Oryctolagus cuniculus: one gene and its partners. The protein of the gene in region 1 purifies or fractionates together with the protein of each later gene. This does not show direct contact. Links are inferred from orthologs where the notes say so. Each region holds a gene or a part of one and is shown on either strand. Other genes may lie near its edges.

The links.
Region 2: the proteins of XPO1 (region 1) and ATP-dependent RNA helicase DDX19A fractionate together in Homo sapiens (co-fractionation; 3 studies listed by BioGRID, with this or other methods). This does not show direct contact. The link is inferred for Oryctolagus cuniculus from reciprocal best matches to the Homo sapiens genes XPO1 and DDX19A.
Region 3: the proteins of XPO1 (region 1) and BACH1 purify together in Homo sapiens (affinity purification with western blotting; 3 studies listed by BioGRID, with this or other methods). This does not show direct contact. The link is inferred for Oryctolagus cuniculus from reciprocal best matches to the Homo sapiens genes XPO1 and BACH1.
Region 4: the proteins of XPO1 (region 1) and NUP88 purify together in Homo sapiens (affinity purification with mass spectrometry; 3 studies listed by BioGRID and IntAct, with this or other methods). This does not show direct contact. The link is inferred for Oryctolagus cuniculus from reciprocal best matches to the Homo sapiens genes XPO1 and NUP88.

The regions. Positions count from the first base shown.
Region 1 is NC_091433.1:141,217,457-141,221,322, reverse strand, and holds part of XPO1 (exportin-1), read right to left. Parts: intron 2,325-3,866; 5' UTR 2,319-2,324; coding exon 2,193-2,318; intron 1-2,192. UniProt on the Homo sapiens protein: Mediates the nuclear export of cellular proteins (cargos) bearing a leucine-rich nuclear export signal (NES) and of RNAs.
Region 2 is NC_091449.1:56,865,870-56,870,272, forward strand, and holds the start of ATP-dependent RNA helicase DDX19A, read right to left. Parts: upstream 2,889-4,403; 5' UTR 2,789-2,888; coding exon 2,732-2,788; intron 1-2,731. UniProt on the Homo sapiens protein: ATP-dependent RNA helicase involved in mRNA export from the nucleus.
Region 3 is NC_091435.1:16,286,020-16,290,329, reverse strand, and holds the start of BACH1 (transcription regulator protein BACH1), read left to right. Parts: upstream 1-1,422; 5' UTR 1,423-1,634; intron 1,635-1,711; exon of another isoform or gene 1,712-2,269; intron 2,270-2,354; 5' UTR 2,355-2,439; intron 2,440-4,310. UniProt on the Homo sapiens protein: Transcriptional regulator that acts as a repressor or activator, depending on the context. Binds to NF-E2 DNA binding sites. Plays important roles in coordinating transcription activation and repression by MAFK.
Region 4 is NC_091448.1:50,908,833-50,913,292, reverse strand, and holds the start of NUP88 (nuclear pore complex protein Nup88), read right to left. Parts: upstream 2,889-4,460; 5' UTR 2,780-2,888; intron 2,524-2,779; 5' UTR 2,406-2,523; coding exon 2,112-2,405; intron 1-2,111. Other genes in the region: RPAIN (RPA-interacting protein), read left to right, coding at 2,975-3,055. UniProt on the Homo sapiens protein: Component of nuclear pore complex.

The DNA of each region.
Region 1 (3,866 bases):
CCACTTCAGTTCTCTTTTCTTTTGAAATAAGACCACCCCCGCTCCAGGGAGGTGGTATATGAAAGGCAGACATATTTAGAACATTTAAAGATAGGACTTCAAGCCACCTAAGGAGTTAAATGGCTTTAAGCTCAAAATCTTAGTTTCTTCACTTATACTATAACAAGCAATTTACTGATTATTTTTATGCAACTGATTTGTCACATGACATATAATTAGGCCTAACATTCTTTTTACTTTTGGGAGACTTATCTATTGCACTTATAAGTAAAAACACCTATCATTTCTCTAATCTTTTTATTAAGTCAACTTTAAAACAAACCATTAAATCTTTTAATATTGTGAAATATTATTAAAAACTTACTAGAATATATTCTCGATAAAATAATCATTATTTCTCAGTTACCAGCCTAGAACACTGGTCTATGTTGGTTTATTCACACCTTTTATATGTTGTGAATTAGGTTAAAGAGTGAAGATTAAACAGGATTAGCAACTCAATCAAGTAAAAAAAAATTAAATATCCTTCTAGTGACTGTAGACTTGAGTTCATTAACAACATTCAAAGCCGAATCCAACCTTACTTCATGTTTTTCAACCTTATTTTCATACTTTCTTCCAGAAACTGCAGCTTTCCATGAATCCATGTTGGAAGAAATGAAGCTAAAAGTTCCATGTTCAATGTATAACATAAGGGAACAACTGCATGACATGTAATATATACCAAAGGAATAACTTTTTCAAGAATATTTTTGGAGATTACATATTGATCAAGTGCCTCCAAGAATACAGACCTGAACTGAAAAACAGAATCAGCAGAGTAATTTTTTTTCACTCTCATAAATTCCACAGCCCTTTCTTTTTAGTGCTCTTTTATTATAAGGAAACTAGTAGTGCTAATTTCACAAGATAAAAACAATTATGCTGGGTGTAGCAAGTAAAGCCGTTGGCATCCCCTATAGGCACAGGTTCAAGTTCTGGCTGCTCCACTTCCAATCCAGCTCCTGCTAATGTGACTATGAAAGCAGCGAAAAACGGTCCAAGTGTTTGGGCCCCTGCACCACATGGGAGACCAGAAGGAACCTCTTGGCTCCTGGCTTCAGCCTGGTCCAGCCCTGGCCACTGTGGCCATTTGGGGAGTGAACCAGAAGATGGAAGAGCTCTCTCTCTAACTCTACCTTTCAAATAAATAAATCTCAAATGCATACACACACACACACACACACACGCGCGCGCGCGCGCATAGTATTTATATGCCATGCATTTTGGATTATCTATGTAAAAGATACCATATCCACCTCTGAGGTCTCTAAAAACTATGATAGTGAATATGCATTTAACTATCTTGACAATATAAATAGCTCCACATCTACTAGCTGTGTATCATCTAACGAGGAATCTAACATTTTGGCAACGAATTTGTGCTATATTTCACCTTAAAAATCAATTTCTGATCCAACTATAGAAATTTTTACTCATTTAGAGCTGAGTTTAGCTCTGTAAGATAAAGATTCAAGATTGCTCACTTTCTTGTAATATACACAACTTGAAACCACACATTCTTATCTCACTTATCTTTTAATTGGGTGAGAAAAAAATGCTTGACCAAAACATGGCTTATGTATATAATTCTCTACCTTAACAGTAGCACTTTTACAAGGGCACAAAATTCAAACAAAAAAGTACTCTATTAATGGATTTTTAAACAAATATATCCATAAAGTACTTTCATAATTTAAATGCATCTGAAAAAAGAATCATGAAGTCCAAACATACTAAGTATATACAAAGGTACATACAACCTGCAATACCTACAAAGCATTTAACATGTATTAAACAGAGTAAAAGTTCCTGAAATACCAAACAAGTATAATGACAAAGCATCCCACTCCAACCATGTTAAATAACACAGTTTTTTCTCCTGACCAATTCTTATTAATTTTAAGAGGGGTCTTCAAAAAGTTCGTGGAAATTGATATTATGAAAAAATGCTGGATTTCAAAACATTTGCATCTAAATAAACGTGTTTTAATACTACGTTTCCACCAAATTTTTGAAGTATCCCTGTATATCCCAAATTCATATAAACCACAGATTTTCTTTTTAAAAGATGATAGCTTTAAATTTGATTCTAAACACAACAACTTTGTTACACAATGTAATTATGTTATTGTTTTGTTTAGCTACTTTACCTGGGCTCCTTCTCCATGGTATAAGCAATTCACCACATTGTCTAAAAGGTTGATATCCAGTTTTTGGCTGAAATCAAGCAGCTGGCGAGCTGCATGGTCTGCTAACATTGTCATAATTGCTGGCATAGATTACTGAAAATAAAGGAAAAAAATTGAAGCTGTCTATGAGGTTTTGGTTATCAGAAACCTACAAATTATTTCAAACATATTTTTACAAATAACTGGAGTGCCTTAAAAGACCACCTAATTAGTAACAACAGGAACTAAGAGCAAGTAACAGAAGCTAAATTACTTAACTACTCGTCACTAGGGTCCTTTTAACTTTGCTAGCCTTTTTTAGGCCTACCTTGTACCTCTCCCTTCTAAATTTTAGTCTAATAAAAAGCACATTTATAAAATGTTTATTAGGGTTTTAGGGCCCTAAAAACTAATACAGCTGTAAGTCCTGATCCCAAATTCTTAAACAGTTTAACAAGTGGAGGTGGGTTTTTCTTCCTATATAGCATTTTTTGGATAGCTCAGTAAAAGCTCACTCCACATTATCTTAATTTTTAATATATGTCGAAGAAAGTATTAAATATGGATATAGGGGGTGGTATTGTGGTGCAATGCATTAAGCAGCTGCCTGCAACTCCAACACCCGCATCCCATAAGGGCACCAGCTGAGTCCTAGCTGCTCTACTTCCAATTCAGCTCCCTGCTAATGTGGTTGGCAAAGCAGTGGAGGATGACCCAAGTGCTATGCCCCCGCACTCCCTTTGGAGATCAAGATGGAGTTCCAAGAAGCTCCTGGCTTCAGCCTGGCCCAGCCTGCGCTGTTGTGGCCATTTGGGGGAGAGAACCAGCAGATGGAAGCTCACTTGCTCTTTTCTCCCTCTCTCTAACAATGCCTGTCAAATAAATAAATAAATCTTAAAAAATTTTAAGTAAATGTGGATGTAAAATTTCCTATTGTTTAGGATGTAAAAATGTATTTCTTGGTCATATGCTTTCCTTGAATAAATGGTCTAGAAAAAAATGCTTATGGCAATATACCAACCAAGATTTTCAAAAATTTCCAGGTATTCACTGGCAAGGCAAAAGTTTTATAAAAACTTGCCAATTTCAAAATAAAAATAAATTCTATCTTAACAGAAAAGTGAGCTGCCTCAAACAGAGGTACTGGGTAAAAACTGTTCATATGCAATGCTATCCTTTTAAGAGCACACTGGCAGACATGCACATTTTTAGATGCCCAGAACTATAAAAATATTTTCTCTGCTTTTTCTTCAAAGTCAATGCCACTGACATCTGTTTGTAAACTTTTTTGGGGGTCAAGATGCCTTGGAATCAGAGAACATAACAGCTCTAGCCAAATTTTGTATAAAGTCAACAAGGATTCAAGATATCCTGAAAGCCATTTGTGAAACCCATGGGTTGATGTACAGTATTTAGCAGTTAACAGGTTAGAAGGTCATTGCCACTTCTCCTTTTGAGATCAGAAACGTCTGGACAAACCAATCTGATGAAAAAAGGCATCATTTCTTGGCCACTTTATAGCAGTTTAAAAACATTCTTAATAATGGAGGCAAATTTATTGTAAACACTTTATCTTAAAGATAATTTCAGTCACAATAAATTAAAGTCCACAATGAGTCACCTAGGTTAAGTATAATGTAAAAATCAAAAAATTAA
Region 2 (4,403 bases), on another chromosome or scaffold:
AAACTTTTCCTTTTGCAAATTTTGCTTTATATCTTTTCACTGTAATAAATCTTAGCTGTGAGTGTAACCATGAGTCTTAGTCAGTCATCAAACTTGGACACCTCTTGGGCACCCCCAACACAGGTATTTACCAAGCTGTCTCCTAACCTCCTGAATGCCTTTCCTCCCAAGATTCCTGATGTTAGCACTTCAGTCACAACACCTGTCAGATCCAGCTTGAAAACAGTACTGTAACTTTATCTCCTTTCTCCTCCTTTTCTATTATAATGCCTCACATCTGCTGCCCCACACAGGCCCTCCTTCTCTGGGCTATCAGAATCACTTCCACGCTGCTCTCCTTAGTTTCAGGCATCATTCCTTCTAATACATTTTGTTCTCTGCAGTCCGTGTATTTTTCTAGCCTTCAGATCTGATGTTGTTAGCATCTCAATGAAAAACCCCTAAACCTACCTGATTAAAGCCTCTCCTGTGTAGTTACTTAAGGTCTGAAACCCACCCTGCAATGTTTCTTATGTTGCTTCTACCTCAACCCAGTAACCTTAAGCTGCAGTAAAAATGAGTTACTTTTAAAAAATTTTATTTAGGCCAGCGCCGCGGCTCACTTGGCTAACCCTCCACCTGCGGCACCGGCACCCCAGGTTCTAGTCCCAGTTGGGGCGCCGGATTCTGTCCCGGTCGCTCGTCTTCCAGTCCAGCTCTCTGCTGTGGCCCGGGAAGGCAGTGGAGGATGGCCCAAGTGTTTGGGCCCTGCACCTGCATGGGAGACCAGGAGGAAGCACCTGGCTCCTGGCTTCGGATCAGCGCAGCACGCCAGCCGTGGCGGCCATTTGGGGGATGAACCAACGGAAGGAAGACCTTCCTCTCTGTCTCTGTCTCTCTCACTGTCTAACTCTGCCTGTCAAAAAAAAAAATCATTTATTTATATGAAAGAGTTATAAAGAAGGAGAGGCAAAGTCAGAGAGAGACAGAGAATTTTGCTCCTTAAATGGCTGCAATGGCTGGGGCTGGCCTCGGCTGAAGCCAGGAGCCAGAAACTTCATCCAGGTCTCTCATGCGGGTGCAGGGGTTCAAGGACTTGTGCCATCCTCTACTGCTTTCCCAGAGCATTAGCAGGGAGCTGGATCAGAAATGGAGCACCCAAGCCTTGAACTAGTGTTCATATGGGATGCCGACACTCCAGGAGGCAGTTTTACCCACTAAGCCACAGCACTAGCCTCAAAAATGAGTTCTGATTCCTGGTTCTATGAGCAAGTCCAGCAATTGTGCACACTCTTCCTAAAATGCCTTCCGATTCTACCTCTATCTTAAATACAACTTATTCTCTAATACCTTGCTAAATGTAAACTTCTTTACAAGAAATACCCCAGAAGGGTTTGCATTGTGGCACAGTGGGTTAAGCTGCTGTGTGTGTTTGGTATCCGGTATCAGAGTTCAAGTCCTGGCTTCTGATGCAGCTCCTTGCTAATGCACCTGAGAGCGCTGATGATGGCAAAGTTACTTGGGCCCCTGCCACCCACAAGGGAGACCTAGATGGAGTTCCTGACTTCAGCCTGGCCCAGCCCCAGTTGTTGTAGCCATTTAAGGAGTGAACCAGTATATGGAAGATCTCTCTGTCACTCTGCCTTTTGAAAATTAAATAAATCTTAAAGGAAAACAAACCAACCAACCAGATTTCCTACTCATAAATGTCCTCTACTGAAAGCTTATTTATCACATAATCTTTTCATCACTTTCACAGAACTCCCCCTACCGTTGCCTTTCTAATCAGACCATAATGCTGATTCCTGTATTCCACTGGACTTGGTTCACCTCAGACACTTGCTGATAAACTGAAAATCTTCCCAAAGCAATAAAAAGAGAAGAAGTGTAAAAAGTCATACAAAGCACTGGCTGTAGTTCACAATATCTGTATTTGATGAACTAACAAAAGAGAGGAGCTGGAAGATGCCAAACATAAAGCAATGACTATGAGAGGGAAACATTAGTTACTTTGATTTGATAAGGACATATTATATATACTTACTGAAATGTCACACCGAACCTGATAAGTATGTACAATTAAAAAAAAAAGTTATATAAGGCTTAAGACTGTAAAAAAAAAAAAACTGTATTCTTGAAACAAATAGTCCATTATCACTAAAGAATCCTCAACCTTAAGTCCTAGATATAAGAAACTCACAATTTGCAATAGAATTAAATGGGTCTTCATAAATCAAGAAACCAATATATGAAACTAAATGTCACTTTAAACATCAAGGAAATAACTTGTAGTACCTCCCTCCAACATCTACAGTAGATTGAAACATTAAACCTGACTCTGTTATTCTGTAAAGAGCCACAAACTGCCAATCACATTAAGCAAGGATCTAAAAAAATGTTAAACATAAAGCAACACAAGGACACTCGGAAACCACAGTGGAAAAGAGAATCAGCATCTTCATTTGCCTTTTCTCACGGCCGTCAAGAGAAAAAGGCGCATCAGGGTAAAGATGGCAGCAAACACAGCAGGGACAGATATACTACAGCGTCGTCTTTAGCCCAGAAGAAAAGTTGTTAAAAGCTCGATACTGGTCTCGGGCCTGAGGAGCAAATCACGGCTAAAGGGCTGCCCGCGGTAAGTTCCAGGAGTGTGGTGGCTACCGAACTACCCGATCCCGCGCTCCCAGTGCTCCAAGCAGGGTCCGCTTGGGCCCCTACGGTGTTCTCCCTGCCTGGAGCTGAAGTCACTGACCGACTTGACAGCCGCTTCCTGCTCGTCCACCGCCAGGGCCCACGAGTCGGTGGCCATGGTTCCGGAGGAGGGAGGGCGACTTGAAAAGGAACGCAAGGCACCACGCGTATATCCTAAGCCTGCGGCCACCGACCACTCACGCCGACCGGAAGCGGCGGTGCACGAAAATGACGTCACCAATCTGCGCCGTGCCGGCCCCCTCCTAAAGAGTAAATCTCGTGCGTTTTGCTCGGACTTGGCTAGAGGCATCCTCATTCCACCCCGAAATGCTCGAGCTTGCGAAGTGAAACTCTTAGCCCTCACCCCAGACTGAAATAACCCAAAACTTACTTTTAAACCTGCCGCATTTTACATTAAATATATGCGGACGGTAACGTTTCAAACAAAGTCCTATGAGAACCATAGGATGCCAGTTCATATGACAGGTAAAGAAAGAAAACACAGAGGCCGACCTTGTGGCATAGCTGGTAAAGCCGTAGCCTGTCAAGCCGGCATCCCACGTGGACGCCGGTTTGAGTCCCGGCTGCCCCACTTCCGAACCAGCTCTCTGCTGATGGCCTGGGAACTGGCTCCTGGTTTCTGCTGTCCAGACCCCTGGCCATTGCAGCTATCTGGGGAGTGAACTAGCGGATCTCTCTTTTTCCCTGTCTCTCCACACTCTGTAACTCTTTCAGATAAATAAAATCTTTTTTAAAAGCGTGCTTTAACCTCCCCACCACCACCAATAAAATACACACACATAGGACAGTGTTTTCTCTTATTTAAGGTCCGTCCAGGCTTATGCATAGGCATCACTGCACATATATTCTACAGTGTCCAAGGCAAATATGCATGCAATTTTAAATTTAACCTTTCAAAATCTTAAGTCGTTTTTAAAAGACTTATTTACTTATCATTTATTTGAAAGGCAGAGCCACAGTGAGGGAGAGGGAAATCTGTCTTGGGGCTAGGCCAGGCCAGGCCTAAGCCATAAGCCTGGAACTCCACTCAGAACAATCTTGTGAGTGGCAGGGGCCTAAGAACTTGAGTCATCATCTATTGCCTTCCCAGCTGCAGAAAGCTGTGGCCTCCAGGACTCCAAACAGCACTCTAAAATGGGAGCAGGCACCCCAAGCAACTGTGGCCCCTGTAGTTTTTTTATTGGCATTATTATGAATATAATGGCCAAATATAATGGCCGTACAAGTCCATCAAACTCATGTCACACATTACCTAAGTCCTCTCCTCCTCCTGCCTTTGGAACAGAGCTTTCTCCATTATCTCAGTATTAACTGATAACACGTTGATGAACATTTCCATATCATCAACAAATCAAATCGTCTGTTTCCAGTTTACATTTTGTCTCTCCTCACCAGAATATGAAATCTTCAAACAGAGCAAAGATCACAGCGAACTGGTGATCTCAGAAAAGTTCACGGCATATGGTGTGTTCTCAATGAATCTTTTTTTTAAAGCATTGAAGAATACACTAAGATTTTATTGAAATTGGATTACTCTAGGCTGCATTTTTAATCACAACAACTATGTCAAAATGTATGAATGGGGGCTGGCACTGTGGTGCAGCGGGTTAAAGTCCTGGCCCGAAGCTCTGGCATCCCATATGGGCTCCAGTTCTAGTCCTGGCTACTCCTCTTCCAATCCAGCTCTCTGCTGTGGTCTGCAAAAGCAGTAG
Region 3 (4,310 bases), on another chromosome or scaffold:
CCCAATCCTTCTTTCATGGTCTACTTCCAGCTGTCCTTTCCTTATTTCTTGTTAAATATCTGCACAGCTACCATGAACTCAGGTAGCCTGGAATGCCATCTGCCTCCTCCCTGGACAGCTGGGTCTCACACATGACCATTAAGACACAACACAAATGTTACTCCTCTGGGAATCTCTCCCTGATATCCAAGCCATAGTGTATCATTTTACCATTTGTACTCGCATTCAATTTCTGTCATTTTCTCGTGTATTTCGAATATAATGCGAATGTCCCTAAGTCCTGCAGACTGTGGGTACAGCCCTGCAGTTTTGTTAATAATAATACATGAATTCATTATTGTGGTAAGTTTTTTTTTTTTTTTTTTTTTCTGCCATGTTGCTCCAGGGCTGTCTTACTGAATTCAAGAAATAAGTCCACACTTTCTGGAGCTGCTGCCAGTTGAGCCACCAAGTTTTCCCATCTCTCCTTCTCCATTAGAAGTGAAAAGCCAACAACAAAATCCTTTCAGACAGATCCTTCGAGGGCTGCAGGCCTCCGGTTGAGTGCCATCTCTCCAGGAACTCTATTATGGAGTTGGCTGGCACAATCCCCTCTCTTCCGACATGGATAAGCTTTGCCATGTGCGCTCTGCAGGGCCCAGGCTTTCAGCTCCAGAGGTGTTAAATGGCTTGGGAACATAATTTTAAAGGTGACAATTGGATACACACCACAATAAGCATCAAGGGATGAAAGCGCAACCAGAGCTCGAGCCGGGCCCGCTGACACCGCTGGCACCGAACCTGGCTGGAAGTTTCCTGGCAGTCGTGGTGAAAAGGGAACACCTGTTAGCGGATGCCCTTGTTCTCATTCAAGCCAGGGCTGCCAGACGCCTTCTACAATATCCCGGATGTACTTGCTTCTTCCCGATCGGCAGGATCCCACACCTGGCGAATCTGGGCGCCTGCCACCCCGAGGGCTTCCTCAGCCACGACCCCTGTGCGGCTCTGGGGAGGGGCGCCCGCTCTCACTCCCGCAGGGCGCGGGAACCCGGAGCTCCAGGCGCCGTGACGGCCTCCGGGCGTCCGGACACCACTCGGGCTGAGGGGGCCGCCCCCTTTCCCTCTGCCCTCAGGAAAGGAGTGGTCCTCGTAGGGGGCTGGGCACGCGAAGGTGGGGGACCCGAGCCGCTGCCGCTCCCAGGCCGGCCGGGATCCGCTCGTCAGATGGCCGGCGCAGCCCTCCCTGGGGCTCCCAGAGCGGGCTTTCCTGATCCGCGGTTCCCCGGGTCCCCTGCCCAGGCCTCCGGAGCCGCAGGGCGGGGCTCCAAGTGCGGGCGGGACTTAGGCGCGGTGGGAGTGGCCTCACGAGGAGGGCGTGGCCTCACGAGGAGGGCGTGCCTCGCCAGGCCTGGCGGGAGGGGCGGGGCGGGGCTTCAGCGGGGCGGGGCGGGGCCTCGCGAGGCCAGGCGGGCGGGGTCTGGGAGCCTCGGGACGGCTGCAGCCGCGGCTTCCGAGCCGAGGAGAGGGGAGGGGACGGTACGGGAGGAGACGGGGCCACCGGCCGCGCGGAGGGAGTGAGTCACCTGACCGCTGCCCGCGCCACCCGCCTGCCTCGCTCGCTGCCGTCAGACGGGCCGCGCCGCGCTCCGGCTCTGGTGAGTGGCTTGGCCGGCCTGCTCGCCCTGCCCCGGGAGGGTCGCGGCCTGGGCCTGTGAGGGGAGGCGCCGAGGGGGCCTCCGGCGGCTGTTTTCTGGTGGTGGTGGTGGGTCGCGGGGCCGGGAGCGGCTGCGGCCCCGTTCCTGGAAGTGGCCGCGTCCACCGGAAGGGGCGTCCGTGGGTGCCCGTGGCTCTTGAGGCGGCCAGCGCTGTTGTTTACCGGCGCGCGCTGCACTTTACCCCCGGGCGGGCGCTCGCGCGCGCCGCGGGGTCCCGGGCGCCTGCCGCCCCTCCCCGGCCCCTCGGTCCCCGGGTCGGAGCCCACCCGGCGCCCCAGCCCGCGGCCCGCCCTGGCTGTGACACATCAGCACCGCCCTCACGGCCCGGGCCCCGTCCTGCCCTCTGCCCACTCCCAGCGCCTCCGCAGCGTCCCCCGCGCCGGGCGGCGTTTCGCCCTCCCAGCTGGGTGTGGGTCGCGCGGGTCATCGCGTCGGAAAGGCCGAACGGTGGCCAGAGCGGGAAGATCACCTGGTCTAACCTGCGTCTGGGGAAATTGGTTTTGGGGATTGGAGGTCTCAGGGCTCCCATTGTTGGCGTTTTGCCCGCTCGTCGTAATGGGGACTCTCACAACATGGTGAGAGTGGGTGTTGATTGTAGAGACACCGGCTTTGTGCTCCTGTAATGCATCACGAACGCCGTGGCTTTCTCTCTCTCTCCAGGCAGGCTCATGTCATTGAATAGAATTGTGCGGCATGCGTTTGTACCATGAGCCCTCTTTCTGCGTTCAACTTGGGCGGATTCAAGGTAAAGTGTAGTAGTAATTGTGGAGGAGCCTGTGTGGGAAAATCAAGCTACCATGTCGTCTTTGGAGGAACAAAGACTTTGTAGGATGCTGATAGTTTGGAGAATTTATATCTGTGTTGGAACTGTTACCCATGGAGGATGCCACTACTAGGTCTTTGTTCGTCTAGTGGACGCTTATTACATTCCACAGGGTTTGCATTTGAGGCTGTTTGGAAAGATCAAGGGTGGAAATTCTAGGGAGGCAGAGCATTTGAACGTGTCACATGGCCGAGCAAAGAAATGGGAAGAGCTGTCAGCTTGCTTCTTCCTGGTCTCAGGGTAGTGGTGCAAGGGCTGGGCTGGGCTGGGCTGGGCTGGGCTGGGCTGGGCTGGGTTTGGTTTGAAGGCACTTGTCACTTCTGCCATTGGACATCTTAAGGAAACCTAGGAAAAAAGGCTGCTGTGAGTCATCTTGGAGTAGGGTGGCTTTGGGGTAGTGCCTGCATCTTGTTTTGTTGTTGTTTAACATAAGGTTCTGTCAAGCGGTTTACCTTTGTTCAGTATGTTGGTTGGATAATGAGGTAGGATGACTCTTTAAAAAAGTTGTGTTGCTGAGTCATTCACCCGAGCCAGAGAGGTAATTAGGAACAGCTGGTGCAGATAGGCTCATCACATGCCTCCACTATAAAAGGCCAAGGAGCACTGAGAGGGATTGCTTCAGAAGGCTGAAGGGGACTCAGTGGTTGTCTGTTCTGATACATGTAATTAGCTGGGGAAGTGCAGGAGCACTCTTAGGAAGTGGCCAGGTAGCACTGAGGTGTTTAGACCAAGAACAGCTGCGAGATCTGACTGAGAATGAATTTGTACTGGAGAAAGAGCTAAAACTGGGGCAGAAATTTGCAGGCAGTAAATATTTGCAGGCAATAAATATTTGATACAATAAACAATACTGTACTTAGTTTTTTATTTCCTCTTGTTGTATGGTCTTTAACATTTCAAAACATGAACTTAATTGGTTCTTCATGAAAGTTTCTTTATGCTAACACAAAAGGGAGTTTTCCTCTTGTTTTTCATGACTCTTGGCTTTTCATGAATACAGGAGTAGTTTTTTGGTATCAGGAGGGTAATGTGAATGTGGGTGGATTTAACATGTCTGGTACAGTCAAGGCTAGACAGTTGTCTAATGAAAGTCAGATCATACTTATGTGTCTCATTCTCTTGAAAGATAGTACTAGTGTCTTTACATTGCGTGTCATTGTTTCTTGCTTAAAAGTAACCACATAACCCAAGCATAACTTTCCTCAGTGTGGACAAAGTTTAGGAATGGGAAATATGGAGGTGAGGGTTTGGTTCTTAACCTCATGTCAAAAGAATGATGAGTTCTTATAGTAGGTAGTTTTCATTTAAAACATTTTGTATTAGAAAAAATTAATTTTGTTTAAATTTGGGACTAGAGAAGATTATAAATGAATTTTTAGGGTCTCTAATGAAGAGTGCAAGGTGGTAAAATTAAGAAGAAGCTATTAAAACTTTGCTTTTTAAAACTTTTCTATAAAATAAGGAAGACATGAAAGATACAGATTAACAGTACTTGAGTATTACATAGTGAAGGTACATCCCCTCTACCCTTTTCTGCTCATACTTGTTATCCATTGCCAATAACATTTTTTAACAGCTGTACTTTTTTAAAAAACTTCTGATTTCTTCTTAAGGGCAATTTTTATCAATGTAATTCTGTTACTTTTATATTGTGCTTTAAAATTAGAAGCTTGAGTGTAATTTTTTTTGACACATGAAGGTTTTTTAATTTAGCAGTCAGCGTAGCTATTAATTTGCCTTCAAATTACATTTTCTTTTTTTTAATTTTTAATTAGTTTTTAAGAGATTCAGCG
Region 4 (4,460 bases), on another chromosome or scaffold:
GGAAAGCAGCTGAAGATGGTCCAGGTGCTTGGCCCCTGCATCTACTTGGAAGACCAGGAAGAAGCTCCTGGCTCCCGTCTGGCTCAGTCCCACCCATTGCAGCCATTTGGGGAGTAAACCAGTGGATGGAAGATCTCTTTCTACCTCTCTGTTAACTCTTTCAAATAAATAAAAATAAACCTTAAAAAAAAAAGTCCTTGAAAAACTCACGTCCACTTGTACTTCCTATTTCCTAAGACCACCTCAGATTCCCGTTTTCTTTTCTTTCCCTGTTCAGTGAAAGCCGTGAGACTGTCAATGTACTATTTACCTGGTACATGAAGAATCGCATGAAGCCAAAATTCTTTTAGACAACTCTACTCTGAATGAGATTTCTACTTACTGCTGCAATGTCTACAAGCCTGCTTTGTTTTTTATTTGTCCGTCAGTGATTCTAATCAAAGCGTTTCTTCTCAAAACAATTCTGAGGCACTTCCGTGGTTCTTCTCTGCTTTCTCCTCATGCTCAACCCCCAACTTCTTCCTACCTGATTCCACAGCCTAACTCAAACTGAAGAGGCCGCTTTGCTTCTGCTTCAGATACAATTCAATCACATGAGTTCATCTATGAAAATCACTTTATTTAGATTTCTGTTGTTCCTTTTTTTTTTTTGAAGATTTATTTATTTATTTGAAAGTCAGAGTTACACAGAGAGGAGAGGCAGAGAGAGAGAGAGGTCTTCTATCCACTCCCCAATTGGCTGCAACAGCCGGAGCTGTGCCGATCTGAAGCCAGGAGCCAGGAGCTTCCTCCGGGTCTCCCATGCAGGTGCAGGGGCCCGAAGACTTGGGCCATCTTCCACTGCTTTCCTAGGCCATAGGCAGAGCGCTAGATCGGAAGTGGAGCAACCGTCGGGCGGCTTTACCCACTATGCAACAGTGCCAGCCCCATGTTGTTACTGGTTTTAAAATCACTACTTTTTTTTTTTTTTTTTTAATTTAAGGTTGTAACTCATGGTAAATGGCTTTTCCTCACCAATCTGTGAGGTTTTCGAGATTCTGGAGGACTGAGGGTTGTTCAGTCAACAATATGTATTGAGAGGGGGTGTGTTCCAGGCACTCAGTCAAGTACCTGCCATACCAAAATTAACAAGGCAGACACACACCCTGCCTTAGTGCTTACAGCCTAGAAAAGACAACAGTTATATATCAATTTTGAATGTGTCGAACGCTGCTAGAATACTGCGCACTGAAGATCTGATAGTTACTCTTAACTGAAATTTTATACTAAGTAGATTGTAGGCTGGACCTATTTTCAAAGCTGCAGAAGCAATGCTAGCATCTCATTAAAATCAAAGCACTTTGGACCAGCCTTATGGCCTAATGGGCTAAGCCACAACCTGCAATGCCGGCATCCCACACATGCAACAGTTGGAGACCCAGCTGCTCCACATCCAATCCACCTCCCTGCTAATGCTCCTGGGAAAGCAGCTGAAGATGTCCCAAGTATTTGGGCCCCTGCACCCACGTGGGAGATCAGGAAGAAGCCCCTGGCTCTGGCCTGGTCCAGCCCAGGTCGTTGGGGAGTGGTCACTTGGGGAGTGAACCAGGATGGACAATCTCTCTTTCTCCACCTCTAACTCTGCCATTCAAATAAACAAAATACATTTAAAAAAAAATCAAATCACTGCTCATCAACAAGAACTGGACAGCAGCACACAACAGATGTCAGACGTTGGAAAGGGTGCCCTAAGTTTTTTTTTAAATCTTTATGAAAGCAGATCATGTATTACAAATAAACATTTTCATACAGCAATGTCCAATCGCAGCAAGCGTCCACTTCCACACGCTGACAACTTATCAAAAACAAACCAAAGTCCCTCCAACTCTGCGGAGGGTAGGGGAAAGACTCCCACAGAGGCTTCCTCCCCCAGGGCAGGCACCTGCTCCCAAGGCGACCCCGGCCCCGCGCTCTCGCACCGTCCCGGCCCTCCCCTCGGCCGCACCCCACTCACCACCCCGCTCCAAGCGGTGTGTCCCCGAGAGGACGCCCGCTCCCGCGAGAACCAGCCCACACCGGCCCCCTTGCCGAGAGCCCGCGCGGGGGGCACCTCCGCGACGGCCTGGCCCTACCTGGTACTGGGAGAGGGAGGGCTCCTCGCCGCCGCCGCGGAGGCCCCGAAGGCGCACGACTAAGAACGAGCTGCTTTCCCCGTCCCACAGGAAGAGATCTCCGCAGAGGCCGAAGACCAGGTTCCTCGTCAGCACCTGCGGCGGCGACGTGGGCAGTGATGACGACGTCTGTTTCTCGGCTTCGGCTGGGCTGTGATGTTTCAGTCCCTCCCGCAGCCGCAGGAACACGGCGTGGTTGGGAAGCCAGGTCTGCCACGGCTCACCGTCACCCACGACGCCATCGGCTGCCGCCATCTTGGCCCAACTGCTCGCCTCACTCGGGTTGCTCAGCCCGCCGCGGAGCGCAGCCAATCCGTGGCCAGCCGTCCACCGCTTCGTCCAATCATCGAGCAGGAAGCCCGGAAGCACGAGGCTAGCACGAGGAGGCGGGGCAAAAGGGGGATGCAGCCCATCAGCTAGGGGTATAGCCCGAGGGAGAGCCAATGGCCAGTCCAGGATTTACCCCGCAGCCAGGAGGGGGCGGGATGAGGAAGTCAACAGTATAGAGCCTGTTAACAAAGTTTGGGAGCGCCTGGACGTCTAGCGCCCGTGCAAAAGACTGAGAGCCCTACGTATCTAATTGTTGGCTGGATACTGCCAAGCATTCAGAACTTTCCTTCAAGACTTACCTCTTTCAGTCCGGGCTGGGTTGACCTCACGGCGTTAGCCCCCACCGCCCCATCCTTCGTCTCCGTGTTCTAGTACAACAATTCCCAGAACTCCCTGCGACCCACGTTCCACCGGCGTCCAGAAACTTCAACTCCCAGGGTTCTGTGCGCGCGCTTAGGGGCGGGGCTCTTGGCGGCGACTCACGCGAGGAGGAGATGGCCGGGCCGGCGGGGTCTCCACGCCGCTCGCTTTATAAACTGGTGGGCTCGCCGCCGTGGAAAGAGGCTTTCAGAAAAGTGAGTGTGGGCCCTGGGCCGTGGTCACTGCCCTCATCCGGGCCTTCGCCCCAGCCCCGCTGTGGGAAGCGGGTGCCGCTGGAGGCGACTCTGGAACCCAGGGCTCCCGCCCGTAGGTTTAGATCTGGATTTTCGATTTGCCCGCTCCCGGAGTTTTTGGCCCCCTGGTTTGAGATTGGCCTGGGTGCTCTCAGTGCCAGGAAAACTTGTTCTCGGGCTCGGGCTTCTTTTAAATCTGATGTAGTAGCCGCACCTTCCGAGCCGCCACCGTGTGGTGTGGTTGGGGGGTGCGGGGGGTCCCCCGAGACACGCACCTGTCTGCGTGCGCCACGGGAGACAGAAGTGTTTCTGACCTGGAGAGGAGCAAACAGGCTTAGAGGAAGAGCTGCATCTGCTGGGTGCCAGCAGAATTCTACCCCGCTCAGTTCTAGCTGCTCCTGAACCCCGCCTGGTTCCTAGAAAGCAACAGTGTGCATCTCCAGGAATCGCTGAAGTAGCCGCACGCTGCTCCGGACGCCCGCGTTCAGTATCCCTGTGCCGGCTCCGGAAGCGCCACCTTGGGCAGCACCTCCTGGTGTGGACCTGGCCCAGCCCTGGCTGTGTCGGGCATGGCGGGGGGAGGGGATGAACCATTGGATGGGAGATGTCTCTGTCTCTCTGTAGCTCTGCCCTTTGATTTAATTAAATGTATAAATAAAGCGGTTGGTATATTCCAGGAACACAGTGTGATTCTAGACAGACTGTATAGCACTTGGCTATTGACATTTTGAGGGAGATAATTGTTTGCTGTGGCTTCTACTCACGAGAAGCCAATAGTCCTACAACTGGAGTTGTGGCAACCAAAAGTTGTCTGTAAGCATTGCCAAGTGTCCCCTGGGGGACAGAGTCACCTTGAGCTGGGAGACCCTGTTGCACAGGAAAGTCTTGACCACACCCGTCTATCCCAACCACCGCTAGAGTAGCAAGCATGTGGAAACAATATGAAGGGCTTATGATAGGACAGTGAATGCTGAGATGTTGGGCTCCCAACCGGTCAGGAAGCTGGCATGGAAGATTAAATATGAAATGTGGGAATTGCAAGGTGTCCGGCGCATAACAAATCTTCCCAGGCAGACGAATCAATTAATTTACAGGCTTTTATTGGGATCCCGCTCCCGGGCGAGGTTCCCCGGTCCCAACAGAGCAGGGGCCGGGGAAGTCCTGTGTGAGAGATTGGGAGTGCTCCTTTTATAGAAATAGGGCGTGGGCGTTGAAGGTTGAGGCGGGTCTGATCCTCATTGGTTGACCTTTAGGCACCCGTGGGGACCTTGACAAGGACTTGTCTTCCCCGGAAGTGCGGGTAGGGACTCTCCATTCCCGGAAGTGCAGGCCTTCCCTCCTTGCGGATCCCAAAGCTACCAGAAAC